Drosophila melanogaster: one gene and its partners. The protein of the gene in region 1 purifies or fractionates together with the protein of each later gene. This does not show direct contact. Each region holds a gene or a part of one and is shown in the gene's direction. Other genes may lie near its edges. The genes, in order: unc80, na and unc79.

Evidence for each region.
Region 2: the proteins of unc80 (region 1) and na purify together in Drosophila melanogaster (affinity purification with western blotting, with the first as the bait; one study listed by BioGRID). This does not show direct contact.
Region 3: the proteins of unc80 (region 1) and unc79 purify together in Drosophila melanogaster (affinity purification with western blotting, with the first as the bait; one study listed by BioGRID). This does not show direct contact.

The regions. Positions count from the first base shown.
Region 1 is NT_033777.3:27,658,102-27,668,845, forward strand, and holds the start of unc80 (uncoordinated 80), read left to right. Parts: upstream 1-4,337; 5' UTR 4,338-4,396; intron 4,397-5,085; 5' UTR 5,086-5,094; coding exon 5,095-5,340; intron 5,341-5,995; coding exon 5,996-6,022; intron 6,023-6,314; coding exon 6,315-6,335; intron 6,336-6,391; coding exon 6,392-6,724; intron 6,725-6,779; coding exon 6,780-7,079; intron 7,080-7,136; coding exon 7,137-7,274; intron 7,275-7,327; coding exon 7,328-7,641; intron 7,642-7,698; coding exon 7,699-7,898; intron 7,899-7,962; coding exon 7,963-8,144; intron 8,145-8,325; coding exon 8,326-8,438; intron 8,439-8,683; coding exon 8,684-8,701; intron 8,702-8,998; coding exon 8,999-9,143; intron 9,144-9,263; coding exon 9,264-9,699; intron 9,700-9,769; coding exon 9,770-9,967; intron 9,968-10,310; coding exon 10,311-10,653; intron 10,654-10,709; coding exon 10,710-10,744. Other genes in the region: Mlc1 (myosin alkali light chain 1), read right to left, coding at 1-12, 368-454, 515-820, 1,828-1,855, 2,009-2,011. UniProt on the Drosophila melanogaster protein: Component of the na (narrow abdomen) sodium channel complex. In the circadian clock neurons it functions with na and unc79 to promote circadian rhythmicity.
Region 2 is NC_004354.4:14,261,854-14,272,654, forward strand, and holds the start of na (narrow abdomen), read left to right. Parts: upstream 1-4,513; 5' UTR 4,514-4,855; intron 4,856-5,753; 5' UTR 5,754-5,799; coding exon 5,800-7,050; intron 7,051-7,105; coding exon 7,106-7,218; intron 7,219-7,279; coding exon 7,280-7,390; intron 7,391-7,454; coding exon 7,455-7,598; intron 7,599-7,689; coding exon 7,690-9,219; intron 9,220-9,292; coding exon 9,293-9,424; intron 9,425-9,494; coding exon 9,495-9,860; intron 9,861-9,943; coding exon 9,944-10,694; intron 10,695-10,773; coding exon 10,774-10,801. Other genes in the region: Tat (tyrosine aminotransferase), read left to right, coding at 1-80, 1,597-2,111, 2,178-2,471, 2,538-2,885; CG13404 (uncharacterized protein), read right to left, coding at 3,715-3,848, 3,936-4,176, 4,237-4,326.
Region 3 is NT_033777.3:19,240,377-19,251,297, reverse strand, and holds the start of unc79 (uncoordinated 79), read left to right. Parts: upstream 1-5,167; 5' UTR 5,168-5,260; intron 5,261-5,452; 5' UTR 5,453-5,506; coding exon 5,507-5,561; intron 5,562-5,626; coding exon 5,627-5,746; intron 5,747-5,882; coding exon 5,883-6,044; intron 6,045-6,097; coding exon 6,098-6,268; intron 6,269-6,333; coding exon 6,334-6,609; intron 6,610-6,669; coding exon 6,670-7,368; intron 7,369-7,419; coding exon 7,420-8,082; intron 8,083-8,138; coding exon 8,139-8,410; intron 8,411-8,474; coding exon 8,475-8,576; intron 8,577-8,628; coding exon 8,629-8,773; coding exon of another isoform or gene 8,774-8,940; exon of another isoform or gene 8,941-9,587; coding exon 9,588-9,644; exon of another isoform or gene 9,645-9,678; intron 9,679-10,459; coding exon 10,460-10,539; intron 10,540-10,921. Other genes in the region: CG5217 (uncharacterized protein), read left to right, coding at 3,271-3,508, 3,620-4,029.

The DNA.
Region 1 (10,744 bases):
GCTGGACGAACTCTGTTTTCATTCAATTTCAAGTGGATCGGCGACAAACGGCGGGTAAACAAGACGCAATCACCGTGCAGAGACCATACGTTTGACATTCGGGAGTTGGTCGGTTTTTTTTTTTTTTTGCGAGTGTAGTGTTGGAGGAATGGACACGCAAACATGGATACACGCATACACATATTTTTAGGTTTGTTGGTGTTTTTCAGGTCGAGTTGGTGGTACAAAGTGCACAGTGCAGAATGGTGGGGATTTTTTTGGTTTGTGCGCAGACAAAGAGTGACATGTGGAATAGACAAACGGCGTTTACAAATCGTATATGCACAAAAAACATTAGATGAGTATCGTCCATTGAACGAATACTTACGAGAGTAGGGGATAAATCCTTCATCATCCTCGGGATCCATGCAGTCAGCGAACAGGGTCTCCACCTGCTCGTCATCCAAGCTCTCACCTGTAATGCACACAATGATTTAGAGGGATATCCCAGGATATATGCATGTTGATTACTCACCAAGCGCCAGCAGGGCGTGCTGCAGCTCAGCCAGCAGCATGGTGCCGTTCTCCTCCTTGTCGTAGAGCTTCAAGCACTCAATGAAGTCCTCGTAGCAGCCCTGCTCCTTCTCCTTCTTGACCTGTGAGTAGATGGGCAGGAACTCATCCAGCTTGATCTTCTTCTCGTTGCGCTTCTTGGTGCCGCCCAATTTCTCGATCAGCGCCAAGGTGGGGTTCAAGTTCAGAGCGCGGAGGGCATCACCTAGGTCGACGGCATCAATGCCCTCACCGGGGGAGCCCATGACTTCGAAAACGAATTCGACATCTGCGCAAAAGGAACTCGATTAGCATTTACATCTTCATGTTCATGTTAGTCGATCAAACGTAAATCCCATCAAATTTTTGTTTTTATTCGTTTCATTTTATTATGCTGCCTCATTAATTGTTTTTAAAAATACTTTAGCAGAGGTGGGTGTTGACCACCCTTTTTATTTTCGAAAACGGGGTCGATGTGGTAACCCTGAAATTTCTGGTACGCACATTTTTGGTCATCATGAAAATCTTGACATGGCTGCTGGGCATTGCCTACTTAGTGTGTGAGTGTATGCGTGAGTGCGGATCTGGGAGAGTTGCCAGCCCCGAGAACACACTACGTATACGTAATCCGACACCCGAACCGAACGCCTTCGCCCTCGTCTGCGCTATATACACAGTATATAGGCGTATATACACACACAAAGTCGCATAGTTTGCTCATCTCTTTCGCTGTGCGTTTGATCGAAAATAAATCTAAAGAAATAACTTGGCCAAAATTAGATCTCTAAACGAGAAGCATTTCGGCTCGAAGACGAGGATCGCGCGTTCGGGTTCGCGACATATACACACACGATTTTCATTGTTTTCCGCGGCTTTTCTATAACGCAAATCAAACTTAACTTTGCACTAGATTTTCTCTACCGGAATTGTGTTGGCAACCTTTATCCGTTCTGGTTTTGGATGGTCGATCGATGAAAATAGCTCAGGCGATGCATATAGACGACAGCATTCCTTAATGAAAATTTTCCGCATAGTGTTATATATATAGGCATGCGTATATGTATGCGATATATTCCAAGTGATTACGAAATATGTTCACCGACTTTTGTGTACTTTTTGTTGTGTATCTCACACGCGCACATTATGTAATCTGTATTTTTATGGATATTATAATACTTGTTTTTAGTCCTTTCTGCTGGGTTTTCCGTTACCTCGTTCATTTAATATGTTGGTTTAACTTTGATGGATTTCGTTTGAGGTTAAAGATAATCCTTTTCGTGCGGGGTTTTAACTTACTTTCAACTTCACGCTTTGGAACATCAGCCTGTCAACGGAATCGAAAAAGATTTGAGAGTTTGGCATTAGTTCGAGTGTGGAAAATCTTCAGTTTTCAGCTGCTGCATATATTTATGTACATCTATATCACTGGATATTGGTGGAAGATGTGTGAAGACTCCTTGGCCGACTGGGCACTCACCATTTTGTCTGTTTGATGCGAAAATCAACTGTATCGCGGATGAGCTCGGTCTCGACTGAACGTTATTCGTCAGTGGCAGTACGGCAAGGTAATTCTGAGGTGAAAGCCAACCAGCCGATCGCCGAGCACTCAGACACAGATACAGATACATTTACAGCTATAGCTTCGAAAACGAATTCAAAAACGAATACGAATACGAATGGATGACGAAACGCTCGCTCTTTTCCTGCGCAAGGCTATACACACACCAAAATATATGCTGTAGTATGTGCGATGGCAAGAATTTACTTTCATCTTGGGGGAACTTTTTCGAATGCCACTCTCTTTTGGGATCCCATGGATCCCAACGACCACCAGATATTGGGAGGCTCTCCTATGGAGCCAGAGCCATTTGTTGTCCGCTCTCTAGCCGGGCTATTTTTAAGCATTTTGTTTTTTTTCGGCTATTCTGTGAATATTTCTTTTTATTTCGTTCGTGAAGGCAAAATAATAATCGCTTGTGGCATTCCCAGCCGGATAGTGTTGAATATCATTCGATGTTACAGATGATTTTGCAGATAATATAATATTTTCTCATTCAGGCGGGAGGAGAATGGGTTTGAGAATTGATTGTTTAGCGCTGCGCAATAGATTGAGCTTCCATGCTGGGGTTTTACGGGGTATGTTTAGATGTTTAGATGGGGCTATGGGGCTATGTACTATAAATGTGGCCTATACATGTATATATTTATACACTCATCGACCCTGATCGTCTTTTTGGCAAACGTACGTATTTCTCAGGTCTTGCCTGTTATCATTCGAAATGTTTTGTCAGCCGGTCGTATGTGGGGGTGTTAAATGGCCGATTTCTTGTTTGTCCGCTGCCAGAACACCTGAACACCAGCCTTTTTCAATATTTATACACTATACATGCTCCAAAAGCATACTATTCCTCGTTGGCATCTCATCTACATAGAAGGCGCATTACTGGCCCCTCAGGCGCCTTCTTGTGCCTTGTGTGTGCCGCCTGTACAACATTTTAATGCGTGCTATTTATAAAAACTATGACACAGATACATGAAGCGTATTCAGAGCAAAAATGTACAGCAACAACTAAATGCTCGAATTGTTTGCATAGGCAAATGGTGGGTGGTAGGTATATAATGACCGATCAAGCCTGAAGGGTAAGCGAGGTGCTTAAAAGGCGGCAAATCTGGCAAGGAAGTGGCAATTAAGCCAAGCAGGCCATTGGCTTTGCCGGCACATCCATTTCCATGCACCCATGTCCTTGACTTTCTATGTAAATGTAGATGTACACACGTCCATGTTCGTGCCATCGGACAGGTCCTTCTTTGACCCAGTTTTGAGCCCAGCTGTGTGCCCAACTTCCGGCTGATGCTCATCAGACCCACTCTCTGGGCTGTCCTGTCTCGTCCTATCTCTCAATCCATTGAGTCCTCGGCTCGGCTTTTGGCCGCGCAGCCTCCCTGGCCTTGTTATTGTTTACTCCTTGGGGCACCACCTGTTGTCAAGCGGGTAACTGGTGCATGAGTATTTAGGCCGATTTGGTCCTTGATTGAACATCTGCTATCAGCAGCCGATTGTTGCCACGAATCTGCGCAGATTAATGTGCGCAAGTCATTGATAAATAGCCCCTTGAGACTGAAATTGTGTGCTTGTATTTATAGAACTCATTTCTGTAAACAACATTTACACTAAGGGCTTTTTGTGCTGGTAATCAAGTTATTTAAAATATATCTCAAATGCTTATCTTAAAATAAGATACAGAAAGAACTTGGCAAGAACTTAGCAAGGATAAAGCGTGCTTAATCAGCTAGAAGATTAATTAATGAACAAAGGCTATGGATTTAATTTCCACTCAAGTCCGAAAGGGACAGTGACTTATTTTTGGCCATTACTACTTTAATACTACACTATTTATTCGCAGTCGCAGTCCCAAAGACTCGTAGACAAAGGAGTACTAATGGCCACCCCACGGCGTATACGCAATGCCCATCCTCAGGCATTTGTTATCATTGATAAGTGTGCTTCGCAAACAGGGTGTCCCGATGGGAGAGTGTGTTATGGCATGCCATAACAAGTGCAAGGACACCCCTTACACGGAGAGCAGCCTTTTTTCCCGTCCATTCAGTGCGTATACTTAATACTGAGTGCGGGTGGTTGTACGACTCTCTGCGTTTGTGTGTGTTTCTCGGCAAAATATCCTGTATACGCACTGCTGGCCTGCTGCTGTCGGCATTGGAAACGATGGCAAACGGAGGACGCGGCCGGCTGAGAGGATAACAACGACGGGGAGCTCAGAGCTCGTCAGTTAACGACGCTTGTCTCAGTTGCATCCGAACGCTTCAGCCGTAAACGTTATCCGAAACTGGCAACGCGCAAATCAAGGTAAGCCCTTGCAGAACTAAAAAAAAAAAAAAAAAACTACTCGTTAGACAACAGAAAAAAGGGCAAAAACGGAAAAATACACAAATTGAAATCAAACAAAAAGTGCTTCAGTGTCCCTGTTCGGTCGCCAGCCCATGAAAGGTTCTGCAATTAGTGACGACTGTCCAAGGAGCCCAGCCCAGTTGGTTGAAGTGAAGCCATTTCCACTGGGTGCGGCACCAATCAAGCGAATCGTTGGCCACGTTTGATTTGAGTGTGTGCTAAGTGCCAAACAATTGATCGTTCCACCGGCGATTAATTGCGGAAAAGTGAAATTTTCCACAATCCCAGCTCGAGTTATATAAGTCTGTGAAAATTTTTGCCCCAAATTAGCATGTATACCAGAAACCCAGTTCTGTATCTATAACCCAGTCGCCTCGTTCTCGCCGCTGATGCGGAGTCTGCGTTCTGCGCAGCGTCCCAGGACCGAAATCTTGGTAGGTTTTTTCGGCAGCGGGGGAGTGCCATGATGGCACTGACCTAGTCGCTGGGAAAAACAAATTGGAAATCAACAGGAGCAGCGTGTTGGGCCTGCGCACGCAAACACCTGTTGCACATATGCTAATGCCCCAACCCGTCTTGGTTTTATGAATGGCTCGGCTCAGCCAGCTGTTGCACGCCATTTGATTTGTGTCCTTGTGCCATTCCAGCTGGCCACCATGGTGACCAATGCCGCGGGGACAGCCGCAACGGGAGGAGCAACAAGCAACACGACCAACAACAACAACCTGCAGACGAACAACAACAGCCATGGGGCGAACAACAACAACGATGACTTTGACTTTGACCAGGATAGTGGACTGCAGGACCTCGGCTTGCCGGTGTCCGTGCAAACATTCCTATGGCGGCAAATAGCGCCCTTTATCCGGCCCAAGCTGGGCAAGCTGCACGAGTCTACCTGTCTGGTGAGTTTGGCCAGTGAAATGCCAACAGCATTTAAGTCAATTGCCAAAGATAGAAAACGAAAAGAGCTAAGATGGCCAAGAAGTGAGGAACCATTTTTCCCCCACACAAATGGGTGCTGTATATTCGCTATGCGTGTTTGTTGTAAGGATGGACTGTGTAACATACCGAAACCCAAAACGATTGGCATTCAGATTGGCGCAAGCAATTCGTCGTATTGAAGCCCAGAAATTGTGTTCAATGTCTTCTACTTTTGATTTCACTCTGCCAAAATCATGGAAAATCGGAAGCTAAATTTGAGACCTAACTTTGATGTTTGATGTTTTATATACTTTTATGCATTCGATTTATATTTTTCTTTAACAACTACTAACACGGCCACCTTCCTTCACAAACTGAACAACAGACCTGTCTTCCATTTACACCAGGCTACCAGGAAAAGTTTCATACCGATAAGAACATAGTTTTATTGCCCACCCATAAAAGTATGCTTCACTTTTTGCCTAGCTTAATGTAGGCTTGGAAACTTTTCCTGCGCCTGTGTGTAGTACATTCAGTATGCTTTATACACAACCCAACTAAAATCACAACTACAATGACAAACTGTACAAATTAACATTGTAAAATCTTTCGCAATTTGTCTGAATCTGAATGTAGTTTTGTCAACATGCACCGGGACACCATGTAAGTTATAAATGTTTGTAGTAGCGATAACCCCCTTATTTTTCCAAAGCTTGTTGGCTCAATGTTTAACCAGAATCATATTACGAATATATGTGTAATATTGAGGTTAAAAGCTTAATTTGATTCCCTTTATATTGTATATGTTAAATGTTTTATGTGCCTATGTTTAAGATTGATTTTTTGTCTGAAGACCCCTTTATTTTGCTGTAATCTTGGTAGCTTTAAACCATATCTACTTTAAACGTTTTATTATAAATTAAACAATTTCTTACCATATTCTTACGATGTTCAGGAGTCAAAGGAAGCCTGCAAGGTGAGTGCAAGATTAAATAGGTTTCTAGTCTAATATTGATGAGCTCCGCTTTGTAGTCCTTTGAGAAAGTGCTTGTGCAGAACATCCAGTTCGGCCTGTCACCACCTCTCACGAAGGGCTTGGGTGTGATTCCCCGATGGCGCCTCTTGCAAGGAGCTCTGCCACATGTTATGCACGCCTGTGCCGCTCTGCTCTACAATCGCGTCAAGGATATGCAGGCCATTGGTCCTGTGGAGACCAAGCTGCTATACACCATGCAGTGGATCCTGCTGTACGCCGCCGAGGAATGTGCCGATGATGAAGGCGGCGAGGATCTGGGCTTGGGAGATGCGGCGGAACCAAAGTCGAAGTCCATTGATCAGTACTTGTTTTCAGTACCAACTATTACGGTATGTTAAAACCAAGTTAATATAGACATACCTATTTAATACCACTCCCTTTCAGCTCTTTGTGTACCTATTTGCACCTATTATACACCACCTAAAGGAATCGGATTTCCAAAACTTTCGCCTGGAGAATGGCATTAAGCTCTGGCAGGGAATGTGGGACAATCGAGCACCCGGAGCTCCATGCTTTACAGCTCCCGTTAAGCCCAAGGCTCGAAACTTGCTGTGTGCACCCACTCCGAAAGGTTCCACGGACGTTTTTCCCGCCCGAAAGCACTCACTCAGTGCGGACGCCATGTCACCCAAGGCAGATTCGCCACAGAGCGGTATCTCAGACTATGGAAGGCAGGACGAGGAGGTTTGTTTGCACCCAATCTAAAGAAATTGATTGATTTTTAACTTTGCTTTGATCTAGGGTTCCTGGGTTTCTTCGCCCAAGGAGTTCGCCTTTCCCGAAACCATACCAGAAGAAGCCTCCAGCGTGGAGGATGAACGTGTGGTCATATTTAGGTTACCTTCGGCGCCACAACTAATGGATAACTCATTCTTTACGGTTAGTTCCTAAACTATGTCCGTAAGAAACCACCAAAGTATCTTCTCAATTAGGCCGATGCCAGTCTGTTGCAACAGCAACAATCCCAGAGTCGTCGAGGAAGTCGCCAGTCAATGAACTCCCGGGACAAGGATAAAGTGCCCTCCACCAAGTTCGAGTTCGATCAGCAGGAACTGATGCGAGGTGCATCTATGAAGGAGAAACGGAGTGCATCCATCGAAAAGGAGACGGACTCGGATAAGTCGGAAAGTATCAAGGCGGATGTATCCGCAGCCACTTTCCTGGACGTGGCTGTGCTGCGCTGCCTCTTCATCTCCCATTGGCAGGAGGAGGGCATCTTCTGGAGCCTGCAGTATCTATACAATCGGTAGGATCTTCAAATTACTAACTAAAAAAACGGACCTTATTGCCATTTCTATTTCAGACTCAGTGACATTGGTGAGGAGGCGGCCATCACCTTGAATCAACCTCGCAAGCGCTCGAATTCCTTGCCCATACCGCAAATCGAGATTTCACTGTACCAGGGACCCGGCAGCAATAGTCGGGATAGTCCAGGCAGTTCCGTGGTTAAGGATTACATCGAAATACCCGATCCATCGCCCACGGTGACAGCCTGTGTAGCAGGTGTGTTATAGGCTCTGCCGGTTCCATTACCCATTCTGATTTCAACTTTTATCCAAATCTTTAGAAGAACCTCAAAGTGCGCCAAGCACAACGGAAAGACGCGGCAGTGAGAAGAAGAAACGCGTTAAGATGGCAGATCTTCGGGCTTTCGTGGAAACAAAGATGTTCTCGAAGTCGGAGAAGAATTTGGAAAAAGTAGGGCTCGACACAAACTCAGCCAATGGCAAGACACCACTGCAACATGCAGTAAGCGGAGCAAAAACCTATGTTTAATGTTCTTAAGTGTTTCTGCCTGGCGCCCGCTTATAATCCCCATATAAATGTTACATTCTAAATGGTGTTTGTTTGGCTTGAGAGTTTAATGTTATCTAAATGTAATGCATGTTCATATTGATCGATAGTAATATTGTTCTATCATATCATATAGGAATACCATCGCAGCCTGGACACGGGTGAGAAGAAACTATCTCGGTCAGCCTCGATGATAAGTCGCGAACCAGCCAGTAACTTGATAAAGGGCAAATCTATGCCCAGTCTCAGGTAAATCTAAATCCCCGAGCTAGCCAAAATCCAAAGAATACGACTGACTCTCAATCGGGCCTCTGACACCAGTACCAAGAACACATATGCCATATACACCATATATACCATATACAGGTGACACTTCCAAACGATTCTCGAAATTCCACACTCTTCAGAGACTCATTCTTTGCTTTCGAGCTATATGCTAATGCTATATCTTCTATAACCTATGCCTTGTACTACTTTCTCCGATGAACAACCAGCTGTCTGCTTGATAGCGGGTGAGTTTCGGTCTACCAAGCTAACTGACAAATGATTTGTATTTCGATTTCCAAGAACCACACTCTATGCTTTATGTGCTCTAAGCCCACGATGGTTATCCCCCTTTTCAGCACCTCTTGTATGCTAAACCTTTGGCGCCTGTCCAAGCCTGTTTTTTTCTCACCTTTTACCCCCCCGCTCTTACCTGGCTAAACCCCCCTCCCCCCCCATAACCCATGAATCCACAGCTTGCCGCACGCCGTTTTTTGACTAATGCCACACACACGCTTTCTCGCACGTATCCTACAAAATACAAGATTTTACAGATACGTTGAGCCACCCAAGGCCCCAAGGCCATCGCAGGCCACCTGTCCGCGTTCCACGGCCTTCTATCCCCGGAATCCCATCATTACGGTTACGGAGCACACGCCCACACCTTCGCCCGATTACATGAAGCGTCAGGTGAGCCATTATCATTGTTATGATTACGACTTGGTCTACAAAGTTTGTCCTTCGCAAAATGAGTTCCCACTCAAGATATGATAATGAAGTACGACTAAAAACCGAATAATTTTCCTACAGGGCTCCATCGACTCCCAGCTGGATGCCTTGAGTAATGGCGGCAGTATTGCTGGTATGACTGGAAACGGAGGTGGTAATGGTAGCACTGGCATGGGCAGCTCCACCACCCGTTACCGTGGTCAAATGCTGCGCTCCCACACGGACTCCCACATCGATTACACGGGCGTGGATGAGTCGGAGGCGCCGGGCTCCTCCTTTTATATAACACGCGATGGCGGCATTGACTACGAGATTATCCTGCTGGCCATTAGCAATGTTTTCAAGCGGGATCCGGCACAGGTTTGCTCACTCCGAGTCTTGGAAGCGGGTCTGAACATCTGCGAGTTGCTGATTGAAATGGGTGTGCTCAAACTGGGTGAGCATGCCCACGAGATCTCGATGAGTATTACGAGGAGAGCTCTGCAGGTCTTGGGGTGTCCACACGGATGCAATGATGGTGGGTTGACGATACTGAGCTCTTTATGTACTCCAATCATATATATTGATGATAATTAACTAACTTCTAGGTGTTCGAGGGCCACCTGCTGACTTTCTGCGCAACCAGTGCCAGAAGATCCTGTCGAGAATGTTGCGGCAGGCTGGTCAAAGGACGAAGCGCTTTATGCAGGAGATGGTGAAGACTTCACCGCTGCCGGAACTCATCGACTATTTCCATGCCTTCCTGGCCTTCTGCGTGGATCCCAGCTCCCTGCTGTCGCCACTGAGTAAGTGTTAACTTAGTTGCTGGCCAGATGCTAGACCGCAAATGATGGGCTTGGATGCCAACCATCTGTAGGCGCACCAAATCCCCCATTTAATAATCGATCCAACCAGACTTATGAGTTCCATTGGCCATTTTGAGTTGGGCTTCCCTTTGATTCGACTTTTGATTTGCTCTTCCGACCGGAATCCGCATCCCCCATGCTGTTTGTGGTTCTATTTTCCCATTATGCATGCCAAGAATTTTGCTAATGCTTTTGAGTTGTCCCTCCCGATTCTTTACTGTCACCACCAATACGTTGTATATATATATATATGTATGTATGTATGTATGAAATGATGCAATAGCTCATAAACGTCAGAGTGGATTTAAAAATGCTAACACCGATATTGGCGGCGTACCAGGTCAGGGCGGCTATTCGACCAATTTTAGCGGCGGCATGAGCGGCGGAGCCGAGGCCCAGGTGGTTGGAGCGGTCTTCAAGCCGCTGGTCAGCCGCTTTGTGGAGGCCAGCAAGGATCTGAAGGGTCCGGAGAACATAGCCCTCTACGGTGACATCCGGCAGCTGGTCACCTATGTAAAGGGCGCCCATGGCGGTCCGTTTCGGCTGGTCGCCCTCAGTGGCATCCTGGCCGTCACTCCGAGGCCACACAAAAAGGGTCCTTCGGCGCAGACCACTCGTGTTATCAGGTGAGTAACCGAAATCATATAGCAGGAGGATTATTGATCCAAATCCCATATTGCAGACACATTCCGCAGGCCAATGCAAATCAGAGTCTGC
Region 2 (10,801 bases), on another chromosome or scaffold:
GCACAATCGCATTCGGAACATTGTCGAGTCGCTAAAGATCAAACCGAATCCGGAGAAGCCCATGATACCGCTGTCCATTGGTGAGCACCATAAATATATAAATTAACTAATATATATCTAAAGAGTAAAAGTTCTAAAAACTGTACGTATATAATCAGTTTTCTTTTAAAATATGGTACTTAGTATATTTCTTGTATAGATTCATTTTAGATATTTAAAGTTGACATCTTAAACTTTCAAGTTCTTAAAACTTATAGGGCTTTTTATATAAACCTTATAAATTATTATTAGTTTGTCTGCAAATTACTGATTCTTGAATTTCCTTTGACGCAGAACTTACATATGTGTTTGAAAAATCTATCTTAAAAGCTTTTCCTCTTCAGAATTCTCAGAAGTATGCTATGCATTTAGCATGTATGTATAATGTATATTTACATTATCAGGATTTCGCCTTCTATTTACTATATATGCATTAATCTGAAAAGTACGCCTTTAATAGTGGCTAAAAGCAATGATTTGAAATATCCAAAATTTGCAAATTATAGAAAAATATTTGAGCAGGTAGTGCTAACTATCCAGTTTCGTGGGAAACCTGCTCCTCATTTCACCATATCCCCATAACACCTCTGACGTTTTTGCTACAAGTTTTTGGGCCAAATTTGAATATTTCTGATGTGCGATCTCTTTTGCTCTTGCCGTTTTATAAATATATATATATATATATTTATATCTTAGTTTTTTTTTTATTTTTGGCAGCTGAGTTGTCCCAAACTTGATAAAACTAGCTTTATGAACCCAATGAATTCGGTTTCATTGTGAACTAAAGCGATCCATTGGTCATACACACCCACAAAATCGGGCCAATCAGAGATCGGTGCTTCGGCTATAATGCTTATAAGTCGTTATATAAGTTGGGACATTGGACTTCCCTGAAATGTTAGAGCTCAATGGGAATTCGGGCTTACTGGCTTTCTGGCTTAGGAAATTTACAGAGAAGCTAATTTTGCCGATTGTCGCGAGTTTCTAAATTTGTGCTAAAATATGCCAGATACCAGATATATAAAATCTGTAAAGCTGTTGTTGTTTCGATTGTTGTTGTTCTTGTTCTTGTATATAATTTAATTGTTTTTTTTTTGTTTTGTTTTTAGTAATATCGTATTATTTTTGTAGCGAGGCACGCGCACTGTATTTGTGTTTTGTGGGGCATTTGCATAAAATGTAGTTCCACCTGTTTGACAAAGTCGAGAATCCATTCGAATCGAATCGAATCGAATGGAATGGAATCGAACTCGGGATCTGAGCCAGATTATACTGCTGCTGCTTGCTTAGCCATCGGAATCGGGAATCGAAGTTAGCCGGAAACGAACGAGTTAGCCATTGACCCAATGCAATCAGAGATTCGGATGCGAAGTCGCCTGATTTTTATTTTTTTAACACCATTTTGCATTCCGTTTCCAAAAATAAATGCACTTTATTCCATAAATTAGGCAATTCACTGATGGAATATTTTCTGTATTATTTTATTAGCTTAAAGGTTATTTTATATTATAGATTATATATTTTAAATGCATTTTGAAACTTGCTTTTCTCAACCAGGTGATCCCACAACCTTTGGCAATCTAAAAGCCGCCGATGAGACAATGAAGGCGGTGCTGCATTCCCTGGAGAGCGGCAAGTACAATGGGTATGCCAGCACCCAGGGTCACGAGATAGCCCGCAAAGCGGTGGCCAAATACAGTGCCCACCAGCGTCCCGACGGAGAGATCGATGCCAACGAGGTGGTGCTGTGCAGCGGCTGCTCCTCCGCCTTGGAGTACTGCATCCTGGCGCTGGCGGATCGTGGTCAGAATGTTCTGGTGCCGCGACCGGGTTTCTGTTTGTACTATACGCTGGCCCAGGGCTTGGATATCGAGGTGCGCTACTACGATCTTCTGCCCGATCAGCAGTGGCGCGCCGATCTCGTTCAGCTAGAGAGCCTGATCGATGAGAACACCGCCGCCCTTTTGATCAACAATCCGAGCAATCCCTGTGGCAGCGTCTTCGATGAGAAGCATCTGCGCGAGTTGATAGCCATCTGCGAACGCCACTATCTGCCCATCATTGCCGATGAGGTGAGTGACCCTTAAATCGAGCACACATGAAATAATTGAATTGAATTGCCTTTGCTTTCGTTGCAGATCTATGAGCACTTTGTGTTCCCCGGCTCCAAGCACTTGGCCGTGAGCAGCCTGACCACGGAGGTTCCAGTTCTCTCCTGTGGCGGGTTGACCAAACGCTTCCTGGTTCCCGGTTGGCGAATGGGTTGGATCATAGTGCACGATCGCAAGAATCGTTTGCGCGATGCCATTGTCGGTCTAAAGAACATGTGTGGTCGCATTCTGGGCTCCAATACCATCATTCAGGGTGCCCTGCCCGATATCCTGACCAAGACACCGCAGTCTTATTTTGACGGCGTGATTGATGTGCTCCACGTAAGTTTATCATTTGTAATTATCAGCTTAATGGATAATTATTATATGATTATTTTTATCCCACAGTCGAATGCCATGCTGGCCTACAAGATGCTGAAACAGGTGCGTGGCCTCGATCCCGTAATGCCCAATGGAGCCATGTACATGATGATAGGCGTGAGCATCGAACGCTTCCCGGAATTCAAGGACGACACCCACTTTGTCCAGGAGATGGTGAATGAGCAGAGTGTCTTCTGTCTGCCGGGCAGCTGCTTTGAGTACCCGGGATACGTGCGGATCGTACTTACTGTGCCCGGGGCAATGATCGAGGAGGCGTGCTCCAGGATTGCCGAGTTCTGCGATCGCCACTACAAAAAGGAGTCGCGCAATTTCATTGAGCACGGACTGCTCGACTGCGATGATGTGGCCTTTTGAGCTGGGAGCAAAACATTTATTAGATATTCTAGACTACAATTTTTATCAAGTGTACATAAGTGTATGTATGTATATATACTATATATATATATATATCAATCATTTTAACTATCCAATATAAGGAGTATTGTCTCAAAAAATTGCTGGAAAAGTAAAGCGCGTCACACACAGATAGATAGAGTTTAGAAAGAGCGAGTAAACTGCGGCTAAGTAAATGGTCATTATGGAGGACTTCTGAATATAAATATATATAATATAAATTTATATATATATATATAGGCCTATATTTGAGCTATCTGGCGCTGTAGGCTGGCTGGGGTTCTGTGCAAAAAATGTTAAACTTGGTGAAAGTAGTGCTCCTTTGGAACAGGATATGATATGATGATGCCTTCTTGCTAGTTACAATTATTTCTATTAGTTTCAAATAAATTTTCTGGCAGCCTTTATCTAACGTGTGATTTCAATTTAAAAATGCTGAACATTTTCGCATAAATTGGATTTAGATGTGTGTAATGAATGATATTTGTATGTATATTCGTTGTAAGAAATTTTAAAATGTTGCTTAATGGGCTGTGAAACGTAATTAGAATGCTGTTGAGTGTTGTGAAGTGTAATTGAATGGTCCCCACATTTCAGCATTCAACAGCACTGTTAATGCCAAAAAAAAAAAAATATATATTAAATTCTAGCTAAGGGGTCTTACAAATTTCTGAAACTCTGGGACAAATCCTGTTGATTGTGGAGTGTGTGTGTGTTTTTGAACGAGGACCTGAGCACGAGAACCCAATCCCACCTACAGGCTAACCGGGAGAGGGGCATCCTTTTGCCTCTACATGTGGTGCGGATGCATTTTCTTCTCCATTTCGGTCTCCACGCGGGCCTCATCGATTCCGGCAACAGTGGGCAGACCACCTGGCCAGTGGAGCAGCTCCTGCTCGTGTTCCATAATCATGTTCGCCTCCGCTACAATTGATGTAATCATCGGATAGGTTTGTATAAGATATCATCCTTCTAATGGCACTTAATCAAACAATCCTATCCCAGACCCACCTTGAATGCGATGCATCTTGCTGCCGTACGCCCAGTCCGTATAGTAACCCACGACGAAGGTGAGCGGCAGGAGCGGAGCCAGCGCGGATACCCTCCTGACCCTCTGGTAGTAACTGGCGCAGCCGTACACAGCACTCAGGTAGAATCCGCTCAGCCAGTAGAAGAGCTCCCGATGGTGGGCAATGGCCAGTGCCTGTTCCCGCTGCTTGATCTGGTAGTGCATCTGGATCCAGCGCTCCATCTGAGTGCGGTCGCTTTGGTCATGCGGGGTTTTGGGGATTATATAAAGCGGTGGACTCACCTTGAGCTCCTGGCACTTGCGATAGCTGGGATCATCGTGCTCCGGATAGCCACTGCCGGAGGTTTTCTTGCACGAGGCCGTGGCACCCATTTCGATGCGATTGCTGCTCGGATTTGTTGAAATCGCCGTGGTCGCTTGTTGGCCACTCCGCGCGGAGTTGCCACTCCGACACTGGTAACCGAATCGACCCGCGAAAGTGCGCAGGCGTCGTCCATTTTTGGGGGTTGCTCGACTTGGAACCAGAGCCATTCAAAGTGACGGCCCAGTGGAGCTGTCAGTTCAGTTGGCTGACTGGAGCACTGCCTGACTAAACAGACTGAGTGGCCGTAACTCCAAGTCTCCGCGTCCGAAAAAAAAACATACAAGAAAAAAAAAAAAAACAAAGAAAAAGGACTCTTTTACGAGGACCTCGGCGCGTGTTTGGTGTTGAAAGAAAAAAAAACGCGTTTTCCTTCCCGCACAGATTTGGAAAACCGGAAAGTGCGGCAACCGGATATATTCTTAGATTTCAATAGTCTCCCCAGTGCAATCCATTTATGTGGACTCTGTGATAAAAATTGCGCGAATCTTCGCCATCAAAAGTTAACCATCCACCAGCAGCCGCTCCATCAGGCGAAAAGTGAGTAGGCTATGTGTAGATAATGTGTTAGTTAAAGAGACAAGGTAAAAAAAAAGGCAAAATACCTTTACACAAATCGTACTGATTTGAGTTTTGCCCACTGAATTCGCTTTGAATTGGAGTGGGCATGGCTGCTTTTGGTTACTGCTCCTTTGGTAATGACAATGGATTCGCCAGTGGGGATGGGACTGGGTCGTATAGTACACATATCTACGCATATACGGCGAGAAGTGGTTGCTCATTCGGGGGTTGCAAGTGCCATCCGCCATCCGAGCTGACTGTCTTGATTCACACAGAAACAAATTTTGGTTGCTCTCGAAGATCTTTGTTGAAATTCCTATACAAAAAGTTGATGCAAACGATACACTCAAAACAAAAGCAGATCAATAAACTTGGCCTGTGGATTTGAAAAATTGGGTAAAACAGGCTAAAGATTATAAATTACATATCACAGGATATGCAACTAATGAATTGAAATGTCTGTCTATTGATTGATTCATTTGCATATATATTTTATTACTTTATAATATAACACTTTGAGCTATTTTAAATATTTTTTTTACGCAGTGCACTCAGTGCCTGTGTGAGTGGGTTTGAGTGCTGCACCTTCAGCCCACCTTGGCAGCTGTTCGAATGTAAATATTGACAAAGGTCTTGGCTCTAATTGCCGCCTAGTTGGTGGAGGGCATCCTTGGAAACATGGAGGTGCTAAATACTAATACGTAGAGAACATGAAACATAATATATATTGTACATGTAATTTATAATTCAATATATTTACCCTTCAAAACTTAAGAATAATCTTAGTAATGTTGAAATATGACAGCAGTTTGGCGGTTAAGTTTACTTCTAACTGATCTAGTCAAGTAACTAACTAATATGCCCCCTCTCCACACAGCAGGCATAACTTAGCGACCGTTTCAGGGTCAGGATGCGCCGCTTGAATGATTGACCGCCTACAGATTCGTCGCTTGGGTGCAGCTGCTAGAAACAAACGCGCAGGAGGCGGAGGCGGAGCTGGAGGCGGAGCAGTAGGCAGCGGCGGCGCCGGCGGAGGAGGAGGAGGAGGAGGAGCAGGGGCGGTACCGGGAGCGGCTGGAGCGGCGGGAACAGGACCGATCACTGGAGCGTCAGCAACAGCGGCCAGCGGATCCAGCGGCAGTGGTGGCCACCACCAGCACCACCACCATTCGCATCCGTATTCCACGAGCGGCATCAACACGCCGGCGACGGCCAGCACCAGTTCCTCCAGCGGCAACAGCTTGACGCCGCAGCAGCAGCAACAGCAGCAGCATCCACACCATCAGTCCCATCACGGGCATCACTACGCACACCATCAGCAGCATACGCATCATCACGCGCCGCCGCACTCGCACCATCCGCATCCACATCCGCACGGGCATCCGCATTCGTATCCACACCTGCGACACTCGCAGCCGGCGTCCGCCAGCCAGTTTAGCTTCAATCCATCGCCGGGTAGCAGTCCTGGCAACGGACTGGGACTGGGCGCTCGCCAGGATGCGGCCAGTGCGCTCAACAGTCCGACGACCATTGTGAACTCCGGTAGCGGCAGCGGCGGCGGCAGCAGCGTCGCCTTCGGAATGCAGCCGCAACAGCAGCAGCAGTCGTTGGCCGGCGGAGGAGGCGGTGGCTCATCGGCGACGGCGGCTCCATCTTCGGGCGGTGGCCACAACAATGGTGCCGGGCTGGGACCGGTCGTTGGTGGCGGCGGAGGTGGTCTCAATCTGCTCGGCGGACTGGGCGGCATGGGTGGCATGGGCGGCGGAGCAGCTGCCGCCGGCATGGGCATATGTGGCGGCATTAGCAGCACCGTGGGCAGTGCAGCCATCACCGGAGTGCCGCCCATTGGGCTGGGCATTGCCACCGGAATTGGCAACAAGATCATGCTGGGCCGGAAGCAGAGCCTCAAGGGCGGCGAACCTTTCCTCGCGGATTACGGACCGGAGGAATCGCTCAACGAGAGCGCCGACATCGAGTGGGTGAACAAGCTGTGGGTGCGCCGCCTAATGCGACTGTGTGCCCTCGTCTCACTGACCTCCGTATCACTGAACACGCCCAAGACCTTCGAGCGTTATCCGTCGCTGCAGTTCATCACCTTTGCATCGGACACGGCTGTTACGCTGCTCTTCACCGCCGAGATGATCGCCAAGATGCACATCCGTGGCGTGTTGCATGTGAGTCTGGTGCACTGAGAGAAATGCCATCTACTTCATCGATACTCTTTTGCAGGGTGAGGTGCCTTATTTAAAAGATCACTGGTGCCAATTCGATGCTTCCATGGTCAGCTTCCTGTGGATTTCGATCATTCTGCAAATCTTCGAAGTGCTGGAGATAGTACCAAAGTAAGTGGACGCCCCATAGTTATAATAATTCGATTCTAACAATATAATATATAATATATAGGTTTTCCTATTTATCCATTATGAGAGCACCAAGACCCTTGATCATGATCCGCTTCCTACGCGTCTTCCTTAAATTCAGTATGCCAAAAAGTCGTATTAATCAAATCTTCAAGTATGTATCTTGTAAACTTTAACAACATCATCAGCTATACTATATCATCAACTTTGATTTACAGACGTTCGAGCCAGCAAATTTACAATGTGACACTGTTCTTCCTGTTCTTCATGTCCCTATATGGTTTGCTAGGAGTTCAGTTCTTTGGCGAACTAAAAAACCATTGTGTAATGAATAATACGGAGTACGATCTATACAAAAGACCGTAAGTTAACAGAAATTCAAATGAGAAATGTTAGAACCCAGTTAAATCCCAATAGAACATGGTCAGTTAATTAATAAGAATTCATTTTCAGAATTCTGACCATCAATTCACTGGCCATTCCGGATACGTTCTGCTCGATGGATCCCGACTCCGGTTACCAGTGCTCGCCGGGCATGGTTTGCATGAAAATGGACTTTCTGAGCAGCTATGTGATCGGATTCAATGGTTTCGAGGATATTGCGACTAGTATCTTTACGGTTTATCAGGCAGCCTCACAGGAGGGTTGGGTGTTCATCATGTACCGGGCCATCGATTCACTGCCGGCATGGCGTGCCGCCTTCTACTTCAGCACGATGATCTTCTTCCTGGCGTGGCTGGTGAAGAACGTGTTCATAGCGGTGATCACGGAGACCTTCAACGAGATCCGTGTGCAGTTCCAACAGATGTGGGGGGCGCGAGGTCACATCCAGAAGACGGCCGCATCGCAGATCCTGAGTGGCAACGATACCGGCTGGCGACTAGTGACCATCGATGACAACAAGCACGGCGGATTGGCGCCGGAAACGTGTCATGCGATCCTGAGATCACCATACTTTCGCATGCTAGTGATGAGCGTTATCCTGGCCAATGGCATTGTGACGGCCACAATGACCTTCAAGCACGATGGACGACCGAGGGATGTGTTCTACGAGCGGTACTACTACATCGAGCTGGTCTTCACCTGCCTGCTGGACCTGGAGACCCTTTTCAAGATCTATTGCTTGGGCTGGCGTGGATACTACAAGCATTCCATTCATAAGTTCGAACTGCTCCTGGCCGCCGGAACTACGTTGCACATCGTACCGATGTTCTATCCCTCCGGGCTGACCTATTTCCAGGTGCTACGGGTGGTGCGACTGATCAAGGCCTCACCGATGCTGGAGGGATTCGTTTACAAGATTTTCGGACCGGGCAAGAAACTCGGCTCACTGATCATCTTCACCATGTGCCTGCTGATCATCAGCTCGAGCATCTCAATGCAGCTGTTTTGCTTCCTCTGCGATTTCACTAAGTTCGAATCCTTCCCCGAAGCCTTCATGAGCATGTTTCAGATTCTCACCCAGGAGGCCTGGGTTGAGGTGATGGATGAGACAATGATCCGTACGAGCAAAACTCTCACGCCGCTGGTGGCCGTCTATTTTATACTATACCATCTGTTCGTCACCCTCATCGTGCTCAGTCTGTTCGTGGCGGTCATTTTGGACAATTTGGAACTGGACGAGGATATCAAGAAGCTCAAGCAGCTTAAGTTCCGAGAACAGAGCGCCGAAATCAAGGAGACGCTGCCCTTTCGCCTGCGCATCTTCGAAAAGTTTCCCGATTCACCACAGATGACCATTTTGCATCGCATCCCCAATGATTTTATGCTGCCCAAAGTGCGCGAGAGCTTTATGAAGCACTTCGTCATCGAGCTTGAGACGGAGGACTCGCTGGTCGAGAACTGCAAGCGACCCATGTCCGAGTGCTGGGAGTCTAATGTGGTCTTTCGCAAGCAGAAGCCCGTCCGGATCATGAACAAGACGGCCAAAGTCCGGGCCGCCGGGAGTAGTCTGCGCAAATTGGCCATCACGCATATCATTAAGTAAGATTTGACATATTTAGCTGATCCATGAGATCCCTGCAAACTAATGGCATCAATTTCTCTAATCCCGTAGTGACAGCAACAACCAACGCCTGATGCTGGGCGATTCGGCCATGTTGCCCGTGGTTGGGACGAAGGGCGGCGGTGGATTGAAGTCGCAGGGTACCATCACACACTCGAAACCGTGGCGCGTTGACCAAAAGAAGTGAGTAGCTGGGCCCTGCCCCACCGAGGCGGCGCGACCCGTTTGATGTGTGTCCACTACCAATTCGCAGGTTTGGCTCCCGCTCCATCCGTCGCAGCGTGCGCTCCGGTTCCATCAAGCTGAAGCAAACGTACGAGCATCTTATGGAGAATGGTGACATTGCTGCCGCGCCACGTGCCAATTCTGGACGTGCACGTCCCCACGATCTGGACATCAAGTTGCTGCAGGCGAAGCGGCAGCAGGCGGAGATGCGGCGCAATCAACGGGAGGAGGATCTGCGCGAGAATCATCCATTCTTCGATACACCGCTCTTTCTGGTGCCGCGCGAGAGTCGCTTCCGGAAGATTTGCCAAAAGATCGTGCATGCCCGCTACGATGCCCGACTCAAGGATCCGCTGACCGGCAAGGAGCGCAAGGTCCAGTATAAAAGCCTGCAGTAAGTGGAGCACCCATCTCCGAATTGGAGGATTGACTTATTTAAACATTGCTTGCAAGCATATAAACTTTAATCCTTTACAGCAACTTTCTCGGTCTGGTCACCTATCTGGACTGGGTGATGATATTCGCGACAACGCTTTCCTGCATCTCGATGATGTTTGAGACACCCAATTATCGGGTGATGGATCATCCGACGCTGCAGATCGCCGAGTACGGGTTCGTTATTTTCATGAGCCTAGAGCTGGCGCTGAAGATTCTGGCCGATGGCCTTTTCTTTACGCCAAAGGCTTATATCAAGGATGTGGCCGCCGCACTGGATGTGTTCATCTATGTGGTGTCCACGTCGTTCTTGTGCTGGATGCCCCTGAATATACCAACCAACTCGGCGGCCCAGCTCCTGATGATCCTGCGCTGCGTGCGACCGCTGCGAATCTTCACCCTGGTGCCCCATATGCGAAAGGTGGTGTACGAGTTGTGCCGCGGCTTCAAGGAGATCCTGCTCGTATCCACGCTGCTCATTCTCCTAATGTTCATCTTCGCCAGCTACGGTGTCCAGTTGTACGGCGGTCGCTTGGCCCGCTGCAATGATCCAACGATCTCGCGGCGGGAGGATTGTGTCGGTGTGTTTATGCGACGTGTTTTTGTGACCAAAATGAAGTTGACCCCGGGTCCGGATGAGTCATATCCGGCAATGCTGGTGCCGCGAGTGTGGGCCAATCCAAGGCGTTTCAACTTCGATAACATTGGAGATGCCATGCTGACGCTGTTCGAGGTGCTCTCATTCAAGGGATGGCTGGACGTGCGCGATGTTCTGATCAAGGCCGTGGGTCCGGTGAGTTGGACAATACATATGTATCCGAAATGATGGCTATAATAGAATATCTTGTAATTCTAAATATTTTACTTTACAGGTACATGCCGTCTATATTCACATCTATA
Region 3 (10,921 bases), 8.4 Mb from region 1:
ATGTTGCCAGCATTCCGTCAGAGGCAGCAGCAACTGTTGCACGTTGCTCGTTGCCGGTTGCCGGTTGCCAGTTGGCGGTGTGCTTGTTGCAACAGCAACATAATCCCCCAGCCAGTGCGCAACGAAAAAATGATTAATGAGTTGCCTCATTACCTGGCGAAAATCAATGTCTTGCGCATATTCTGTGGGCCAAGAACCCGAGACGAAGAGCCCAAACCTGTCACAGCCACTTGGCCATGTTGCTGTTGTTGATGCTGATGCTGCTGCTGCTGTTGCTGCCGTCGTTGGTTGTCGCATAATAAATCGATCATAATTCTCAGTCGAGACTCAAATATTGCATGTGTCGACGCTGATTTCGATGCCGACGTTGATTCTGATTCCGATCTGGGACCAGCGACAATCAGCTCCTGTCGCACACGACGGCACATGCAACATCAGCGGCAGCAGCAGCAGCAGCAGCAACATGTGAGTGATCCGAGACGGCATTTGCCGCACTTGGGCTTTGACTTTGCCCCTTTTCGATGGCATTTTTTGTCTGTCTTTTTTTTTATTTTGCTTTAATTGCAGTCGCGCGCCTGAGCTGGCAACCCATCTGGCTGGTGGTGCTGACTGATTTTATTTATTAAACTGTTGACATTCTGTGTCGCCGCTGGCGCCCTTGATAGCCATCAGTCGATATCTAACCAATTTCGAAGGAGAGGAGTGGCGCCGATTTATGGCCACTTGTATTATTGATGGACTTCATGGCCACGTTGTGACTGGTCTGGAGGAGATTCTCTCGCCCAAGGACCAGATGTAATGAAGGATTAACTCCGCGCAAATAAGATACCGCCGATTGAGTCACATTTCACTGCGCGTTCGATAAAGTGAAAGTGTGAGATCGTAAACGAGAAACTATTTAATCAATGATTACACAAACGCACATACGCTCAGATATGGATTATTGCTATGATAACACAATATTATTTATTTAAAAACCGAGAGTCAAACGGCGATTGAACACCAAGCGACGTCGCACAGGCCAATAGACCGATGCGATTGAACTCTTTATCGCCGTGTTATCTACTCCGATGCAACTATGTAAATATTGTAAATCTATAAAGGCGAACGGCAGTGCCAAATTGAACTTGAGAACCTGATGGTAGGGGAGGGGGGAAAATAGTACTATTTATGGCCCCTTTATCGGATTCCCAAGAGTGACTGGTTAAGGTTTACCTTTCCCACATAGAGCTGATATTTCCCGGTATCTGTGTCGAATTTCAGACTATTTGATCTTTCGGTGGGATTGTAATAAACGAAGAAGACCGAAATATTAAAGTCAACAGCACGGCGTCGTCGTTGTGGTTGCCATAGCTGTTGCTGTTGCATGTAGCATGTTGTTGTTGCTTTCGCTTGTGCTGCCGACAACAGCAACAGCAGCAGGGCAAACAAGTTGAATGGCATCCAGAGATGGGCAGGGAAAGGGATTGTGTACTGCCAACAGCAGTTTGATTGTTATTGCCAATGAATGAATGCACTTGCTCCGAGGATTTGTCTGCCAGACGACCAACTTATGAGTTTCCATCTACAACTCCGGTCCAAGAGATGCGGCTCCTGCTCCAGCTTCGTTTGCCCCGAGGGTTGTGGCAACACATTTTGCGGTCTGCAGTTGCAGCTTCTGCTGTTTCTGCCGCTGCTGATGCCATTGTTCCCACTGCCCCACCGCAACACTGCACCACAGTTGGATCCCTGCGCCGCCACCAACTCCCATCCAGCGCGATGGTGTTGCTCCTGCGTAAGCCTGCAGGGGGTGTTTATGCTGTTTGTTGTTTGTTATTTGCCGTTTCGCAACTGTGTGTTGGCAATGAATTGGCTGCAAACAACATTTCCGTTTTGGCCATTATATGGCGCCCACTCTACAAATGGGCGAGCATAATAGCCGGAGGGGGAGGTGGTGCAGTTGGGGTTAGCTCCCCGTCGCCGCTGACATTTTCACACTTTTCAGCGGAGTGGGTGAGCAGCTGTTGGCGGCGGGCAAAAGGATTGCCTTGCATTATCCTTGTTCATTTCCCTTATACTTTTATTACTGATGATTTATTGATGTCCCTTTGTTGTTGGCGGCGTGGGGTTTTTTCATTAACTTTTTATCAAAGATCGGGGGTTGGACATAAATAAATGAAGGACACGAGCAATCACTTCAAGGGTTATGAAAACTGCCAAATTAAAGGGCAAACATATGAAGTATCTACTACCGTTAAACAAGATACATGTATAATGTTTTAAACGTTGTTTTCATTCACCATTCGTTGGTCTTCTTCTGATGCACGGTATTGCACTCTTATAGTAAGTAATTGATGAATTTTAATGGCTTTCAAATTGGTACGATAATGTATATCTGTTTTTCAGAATTTCAACACCTTCGCCAGACAATAGCATGCTGCAAGTGCCGCAGCAATTGTCCATTGTTTCGGGTATCCTGGCCAACCAACCGGCAATACATAACTACATAAATTAACGGACCTCGATTCCAGGACCAGGACCACGGAAAGGGATCGGGCCAGAGACGTAGGGATGGCGCAGTGTCGACAGCAGGAATCGCCACCAGCTCTTCAATTGATTTTGCGAAAGCACTTTGTTGGTGGGCCCCATCTCAGAAACGGAACACTGCAGCACTAACTGGACAGCGGACGGCGGACAACGGACGACGGACTTCGAAGTTCGAACATTTGAGACAATGGGGCAGCAGCAGCAGTAGCATAACAAGGGGTATTGTGTGCACGTATTGAATGAATTGCCTTTGGCTTTCATTTCAGCTCTTTTTTCTGGGGCTGCAGGCTTCAGTCCAGTTTGGCTTTGTCCTGGCCGGGAAACAGTTCGATTGCGGGAGAAAATGAAATCAAAGTCGTATCAATTTGAAACCTGTTTCGATGTCGTTGTTAACACATGTTAACCAAACGTAGCCAAATTGCCAAGGAAAATGCAAAAAAACGTGGCAGCAGAAATCGAAATTGATATTGTTTTTATCTACATGAGTTGTTAAAATTACAATATATATGTAAAGTACCAATCTCAAACTTATAAGGCTGTAAAATCCTTTTTAAACTCACTTAACTGAATTCTACTTTTCATAAAAGGTGACAAGAACTAGTTGACTCTGGATTTTCTGACACTTTGCATCTGGTGTTCAATTCAACAACACCAGTCACATTAATCTTATATTTCGTACAAAACCGAGCCATATTTTATTGTAAATAAAATTCGATAAAATTTCGGTGGACATATTGGACGAAGATGTCCAGTCTGCAAGATATTCCGCTTGCCGACCCCGAGGGCCTGTCTGTGGAAGGTCCCGAGGTGGCCCCCGCTCCAAAGTCCAATTCCTTGAAGCGCTTCTTTAAGATCAGCAAGAAGCCAATGATGCGCGACCAAGTGGAGGATGACGACGAGACATCCTCCCAGGACAACAAGGACCTGGGAAAGTCAAACACTATAAGTCGCTTCTTTACCCGGATGAAGGGAGCCAATAAGGGTAAGCTCTTTTGACTGGTATTAAATATGATTTGTTGAAAAAAAAATGATTGCCTAATGACTTACAATTAAAAGGAGCTCTTCTTGAATAATCATAAACCCCACTTGCCAGATGTTCAAGATCCTTCGAGCTCGGTGGTCGAACCCGTGGAGCAGGATAAGCCGTTGCCGAATGCAAAGCCCACGATTAAGACATCCATTTCATCCTACTGGAAGATACTGTTCAACCGGCAGAAGAGCCAGCGCCAAAACGCAGCTTTAGGGCAGACCAATGCCAATAAAGAGGATAACGAGTCTGAAGAAGTCCATGAACTGCAACCAGTAAGCCAAGATCCCGATACCGATCCTCAGCCGACAGTCAAGGATGAGCACGATGAAATGGAACGTGGCACAGATCCGGAGCCACCCAACCCGAAGCCCAACAAAAGTGTTGCCAGCAAGGCATCCGGTCAGGAGATTGTCAGTGCCTTAGAGGGCGGCCAGCTGTCTACCAATGATCACGAGAATGCGGCTTCCATTTAGCCGTCTTCAACTAACACTAATCAAACCCGATGTCTAGTATCTCTACCGATCTCGAGGCAAAGGTTTAGAAATCAGTTAGGGAGCTGATTCAACCTTACACAATATATACTCTTCAAACACATCCCTGCTAACTGACATACATACAAGAACAAACATTTTCGCTTTGATTCCACAAATGATAATTCCGAGCTCACGAAATAAACACATACAAGACCCCAGTATGTTGTCATGTCATCCTTTGTGGTAAATCCATCCGTTTTTGTTCGTCTAAGGGGTCACAGAGTTCAGTTAAATCGGTTGTTAAAACGTCTTCACTGGGGGGTTTTGATTACCTAAACGAGTTTCATGTTTTGCGTTGCAAACAGTGGGGTTAAAAGGTGCCGCATGAGCCAGACAAGCCCGAGAATTATTTGAGGTTTTCACTTTCGAGGGAAGCCCTAAAGATGAGCCACCCCCAAAAGTTGGCTAACTAAATCACGTAATGAGTATTTAATTGTTGGAAGGTGTGCTATTAAGGAATAAGGGTGCAGAAAGTTTTATTTTAAACTTTATTTCAGTATCAGTATACCAGTGCAAATTTCTTGGCTCAGTTCCAAAGAGGTAGATATAGATATATCTCAAGAATGAGTAGTTTTCTTATCTCGTGTCAGTACTTTGGAAAATCTGAAACACACCAGTTGCATATCAGGATAAACAGCTGGGCGATGTTTACCAACATTGAGCACAATCTGCGCAAACTCCGGACCCGACTGAAAATAGTAAATATTTACATTGGCTAGACCAAAACAAGCACTTGTTGAAAGCCGACCGGTGAGTGCGGCAAATGCGAGATAAACACGCGATATGCGCATGTCCTACTTCCGAACAGCTGTTTCTGGGGGCTGCTGTCGAGGGTGGGTGGTAAAAGTGGGTCAACTTACCCTACAACTTCAATTCCCTCAAATTCCCTTACATTTAAGCCAAAAAATACTAAATCACATAGCCTATTTAATAATTAAATATATTTGAAATATATTCTAGCTTAAACCGCTTGATAAAGTGTATGTATAAGCCTGTATAAAAGCCAAATTGGTAAGGAGGGGGTCAAGGGGCGTCCAACAGATAGCGAAATTCTTGCACAGATACACACCATAAACTCAGTTTAGTTATAGAGATTTTTCTTCGTGGTCGTAGCTTGCTGTAAAACCCGTAAAAAATTGCAAATCTATTGAAAAAACTAACCAATTTCGAGGTAAGTTGACCAAAAATATTAACTTAAGTTCGTTTCGCAACCGGATTGTATGAAAATTCAGAGTTTTCTATGAAATTTCGTGCGCTTGAGCACTTTTTCACTGGCAGCATCTTTCTGGGCGATACATTACGCAATTCTGGGCGTGAAATGTTAAATGTTTTCAAAATGCAATCCTTTTTTGCCTAATTGCAGAATGCGAAGTCCCTCGGCAGCAGTTTCGGCAATGCGAAGGATTTGTCTGATATAATGACTGGCAGCTTTAAGGTGCAACTCATCAACATGGGCACTCGCGCTGCCGCCTGTAAGTTTGTCCACAGAAGTCTCAACTTTCTAGGGTGCTCAAAGGACCTTTTTTTCTGCTTTCAGTTCAGGCAAAACTGAGAGCCCTTCATGAATACCACGTTCGTCTACTGCACAACGTCTTGCCTGCGCCCTCTGGCGTCGATATTGCTAACAATATCAAATACTTTTCTCAAACTCTACTAAGTAAGTATCTATAGAGGTTAGAGTAACCTATGTAATTATCTCAGTCCCAACTCTTGATAGTATTATTACCTATTATTTTGGCCTTGTTAGCATTTTCTAAGCCACCAATTTATTGGAAATATCTTTAAATTTACAGCTGTCCTTAAGGATGTGCGCACTTCGCCGCACGAGCTTATCCGCGATCCTCTTGAAGATCCCACTCGCATGTCTGCCTATCCCAATCTCGAATATGGCAACCTCTACAATGCTCTTACAATGCTCATCGATGTGGCACCTTGCATCCAGTACGGCCAAATCGGTGAGCTTAAGACATCTTAATGCTCATAATATTCTAATTAATTTTATTTTCAGTGTTCGGAAAAGCTCTATTGCAGTGCCTAAGCTGCATCCTTCCCTTTCTGGACAAAGATCTTATCGATAATCTACCCTATCTTGTAAGCTCTACTATATCAGTACTACCACCAGCGTTGCACCAATGCATCATCAATGCTCTATGCTACTATATCTTGCCTTTTACTATAAGTGAGTAGTGACTACTTCCCTAGTTTAAAGAAACTATTTGATAATTTTTAATTTTCAATCTTTAGCTCGTCGCAGCTCCGACGAACAGGAATGTCAGGCCTGCCAATCAGTGTCCTCGGTCATCATGATGGTGCTCCAGTACTCCAACAATCCAGCGCATCATTGCCAGCTCCTGGAGTGCCTGATGACTCTTAAGCACAATGTCGTCAAGGACATCCTCTGCGTTGTGGCATACGGAACCGCTGTTTCCCGCACCTCGGCTGCCAAGCTGCTCTTCTACTACTGGCCAGCCTTTAACGCCAATCTGTTCGATCGCAAAGTCCTACTCTCCAAACTAACCAGTGAGTTTATTTCATATGATTACTCCTATTATCTTACCTCATCCTTCTAATCCCGAATAGATGACCTAGTGCCCTTCACCTGCCAACGGGAGCACTGTCCGAACTCCGGGAATGCGGAGGCAGCAAAGGTGTGCTACGACCACAGCATTAGCATCGCATACGCGCCCGATTGTCCACCGCCCCTTTACCTGTGCATCGAGTGCGCCAACGAGATTCATCGGGAGCACGGAAGCCTGGAGTTCGGCGACATTCTGCATCCCATGCAGCAGGTATCGATGGTGTGCGAAAACAAGAACTGTCGCTCCAACGAGAAGTCCGCCTTCTCCATCTGCTTCTCCACGGAGTGTGCCAGCTTCAATGGCAACCATCCGATCCGCTACTGCAGCCAGTGCCACAGTAATAGGCACAATTCCCGGCGAGGTGGCGATCACGTGGTCCATCGCAGTCTGCAGCCCGCCTGGCAGATGGATCCAGAGATGCAGATGCACATGGTGGAGTCGGTGGTAAGCCTTCTGCGAGAGGCGAAGCCACTAAACTTTGAGCCCGGCAAGGAGTCCTCGTCGTCCGAGTCCAAAAAGAACGGCTCCGGCATCACAGCTGACAATATTTCTCTGGAGGAACGCCAGAGACTGGGACGCTATGGTATCTGGCTACTGGTGGGTCGCTGTACACCCACTGCAGATACTCCCGTAGAAGTTCTGGGCAGGATTCTGAGCATGCTCTTCCACTGGTTTCATGTAACCGCTTACTCATACGATGGTATGTTAAGATGAATTATTTTTACCATCAACCATCAACATTTGTTTTCAGCTGCCGGACAAGTGGAAAGTACCATTGAGAAGCTCAAAGTGGATCACGTTTGCAACTGGCTGAAAGACATCTGCCGCATACACTACAACGTTTTCATATCCTGCCTGCTGCCACATCCCCCGGAGTATGCCCGTGTTGGAGGCCACTGGGAGACCTTGGCGTCGCGAACAAGCCACTTGAAAGAGGGTCTTCAGCGGCTTATATGCCTGGTGCCATATGAGGTTATCACTTCCGAAATTTGGGACTATGTGATGCCGCACTGGATGGAGGCCATCACCAACGACGTGGCCGAGAAGGAACTGAACGAGCTGAAGATTGTGCTCAGCAAGATCCTCGATCCGGAAATGTCGCCTCTGGGCTTTGATGCCAAAACCATGTACAACTTTGTGGCCATTCGATTTGAGAAGACAACGGCAAAGGTGCAGCAGCAGGCACTCCACTGGCTGCAGATCCTCACCAAGCTGGAGATTCTCATTCCACTGGTCCAGTTGTTCGCCATGTTCGGCGATGGTGTTCGCATAATGAAATACGGCATCCAGCACGAGCTGATGCGCGAGAAGGATGCCCAATCTCAGTCCCTGGCCAAGGCTCCCAAGACCCCGTGTAAAGAGAGCAAGGAGACCAAAGCGGATATGGCCAATCCGCCCAGGCGTAGCTCTATTTGTGAATATGCCTTCCACTAACATTTTATCACTAAGTATAATACATTCTTTCAATAGCTCCTGTTGTCGAGGATGACTCTGGTAATACGTCTGCCATTTCGGATGACGAGGCGCCCACGAATCGTCACACGGAATTCTCCACGGATGCTGAGCACAATCTCACCTGTTGCATCCTCATGCTGGACATACTTCTGAAGCAAATGGAACTACAGGACGTGGAGCAGCACATGGGCATCCATACGAGTGTCTGCGAGAACGTCTCCAGGCTGATCAAGTGCATGGTCACTGCAGCTCGAGTGGGTCTCAGTAGTCATGTCTGCGCCTTAAAGGTGAGTAAATCGTGTTTTAACTCAATTAATCCCATAAAATTTAACGAATAAATCAATTTATTAGGTGGCAGAGTGTGCTTACTGCGAGGCATCCATCATGTGGCATCAGCTAGCTACCAAGTTGGTCCAGTTCATGGCCCCATTGAATCCAGTCCGGCCACCAGATGTAAATCGTCGTCTTAACTAGAAGCTTAACCTTCTTATGAGTGATCTTCCAGGTTCCCATCGAGGACATCATTGAGGAAGAAAAGTCCTCGCGCAAATCTCCACCCGAATCCGACAAGGAAAAGACCCGTGATCGAGATGTTTCCCTCTCGATGGCTCCACTACCCATTCCGCTGGGACCTTTAGGAGGATTTGCAGGTACGCTCCAGGCTTTTCAACGCATTTCCCCCTTTACTTCAAGACCCTTAAACGAACCCCCGTTGTATCATAAAGTCTATAAAGTCCCAACAAAGTTTCTTTTCCAAAACCAACCCAAAACCTACCCACTTATAAATAAACTAACCACCGTAACAGTAAAGCAGTGAAACGTCACCAAAAAGTAGCTAAATGTAGACAGTACTTGAGCCTGGTCTATATAAAATATTATACAATTTTTTGGGTGAATGGTATGGAATGGCGACTCGCCCGTCGAGCGTCCCTATAAACAACCTAACTTAGCCTAAAACCCACGTTAAAACGCAAACCGAACTTTGTTTCAACCTACAACTAGAAACCTGCACTGCTATGCCTTGTAAACAACTACCAACTTGACCCAAATAAACAATCCTCAGACTAAATCAAACAATCTCAGCAGTATGAATTAACAGCCATCTAAACGATCATTCGTGAAATTACATTACCGTCATCCCGATCTCATCCGTACATTATCTTTTAAGCCATAACTATTTGTCTATCTTGCTATCTCTCTCTACATAAATATGTATATTTGTTTCTCTCTCTCTATCTCTAACATATTCTACTCCGCGTCTGCCTGTACAAAAATAACATAACTAACGCTATCTCTCTCTCTCTCGCTCGATCGCACCCTCTTCCGCGCGTACGAAACTGTCTGTCTCTCTCACACTCCAAAACTTCTCGTCTATGCCCAAAAATAATCTACAACTAATATCTACTCATGAAATACTACAAAACTAATACCGTACTAAATTTAAAATCTATCAATCATTATCAGATATCTTTAAGCTAGATCAATTCTTTTCAGACGATGGAAAAATTATTATAATGGCAGGTGATGCACCACAAGAAAATTTTTCATTCGTTACAAAAAAAAAAAAAAAAACAAAAATCAAAAATACAAATAACAAATTTACATTACATTATGAAGCATTTGTTGAAACATTTCGTTACTTCACTCAAACAAACCAACCAACAGAAAAAGACAACAATAGTTCCGCTCGATCACTCTAACCAACTTAACTTTGTCTCCACAAACACACGCCACACCACTCTCTCTATCTCTGTTTAGCGTTACTAGAGTATATGATTTAGAATATCCAAGCTTTAATTATATCTAGTTGACCTCCGTAGATTGACCGCCCGCCCCTAGAGAGTTCAGTTCTGTTATGCAACAATCGATCGATCGATATCCTTTCGGTTCGGCTATAGTGTTCCTCCCAAAAATGAAACACAAACTGCGAGTTTTTAATCCAACACCACAGATGCACTGAAGCCACACGAATTTTACACTATCTTTGATTTTCGGTTGGCAGTACGAGTGCCTAGTTTAAATCCTTCCGTTGGTTCTGAATATATTTCAAAACCGGATACGAATAATCCACGCGTAGTACCCGACACGATTGGCAGTAATGTACATCACTTGCTCAAAAAAAAAAAACCCTGCATGAGATTCTTTCATCGATACACTTATTTTCTAACTATCCGAATGACACTTGTAGGATTTCTATACGTATGCATGGTTGATTTGTGAATGCCAAACAGTTGTATGTTGTATGACCACTAAGCGAATTTCATTTTTAGCTGGACTCGCCTTACAATCTGTACCGATCTGATTCTAATCCCCATTTATACTTCTCTTTGAAAAAGGTCCTGTGCCAGTGGCCGTGCCCCAACCAGAACCGCACTCCGTTGGCGGAGTGCTCGTCCACATGCCCCACGTCTGTTCCGTATGTATTTCGATCATAAGCAATGCCAACCGTACACATTATGTTCTTCAGTTGTCACTCCTTAATTGACGACCACCATACTCGAATTTAAAGTTTCTTACACACTACAAACGAAATAAAACAAAAGAAAGAAAGAAAAAAAAAAAAACAAAAGAATAAGAATAAGAAATGTAACTTAAAATATTATGCGTTGATTGTAGGTATTTTGAAACACCCCATATATATACATATATATTTTATATATTTGCTATAAATATTCAAACTAATTAATTACAGCAAGAAAAAGCAATACTAAGTTAAAGTGAGCATTCGAGTTATTTCATTTAATCGACACACATAATCTGTATTCGATTCACTTTTGTTTTCCTTAACACAAATTCCA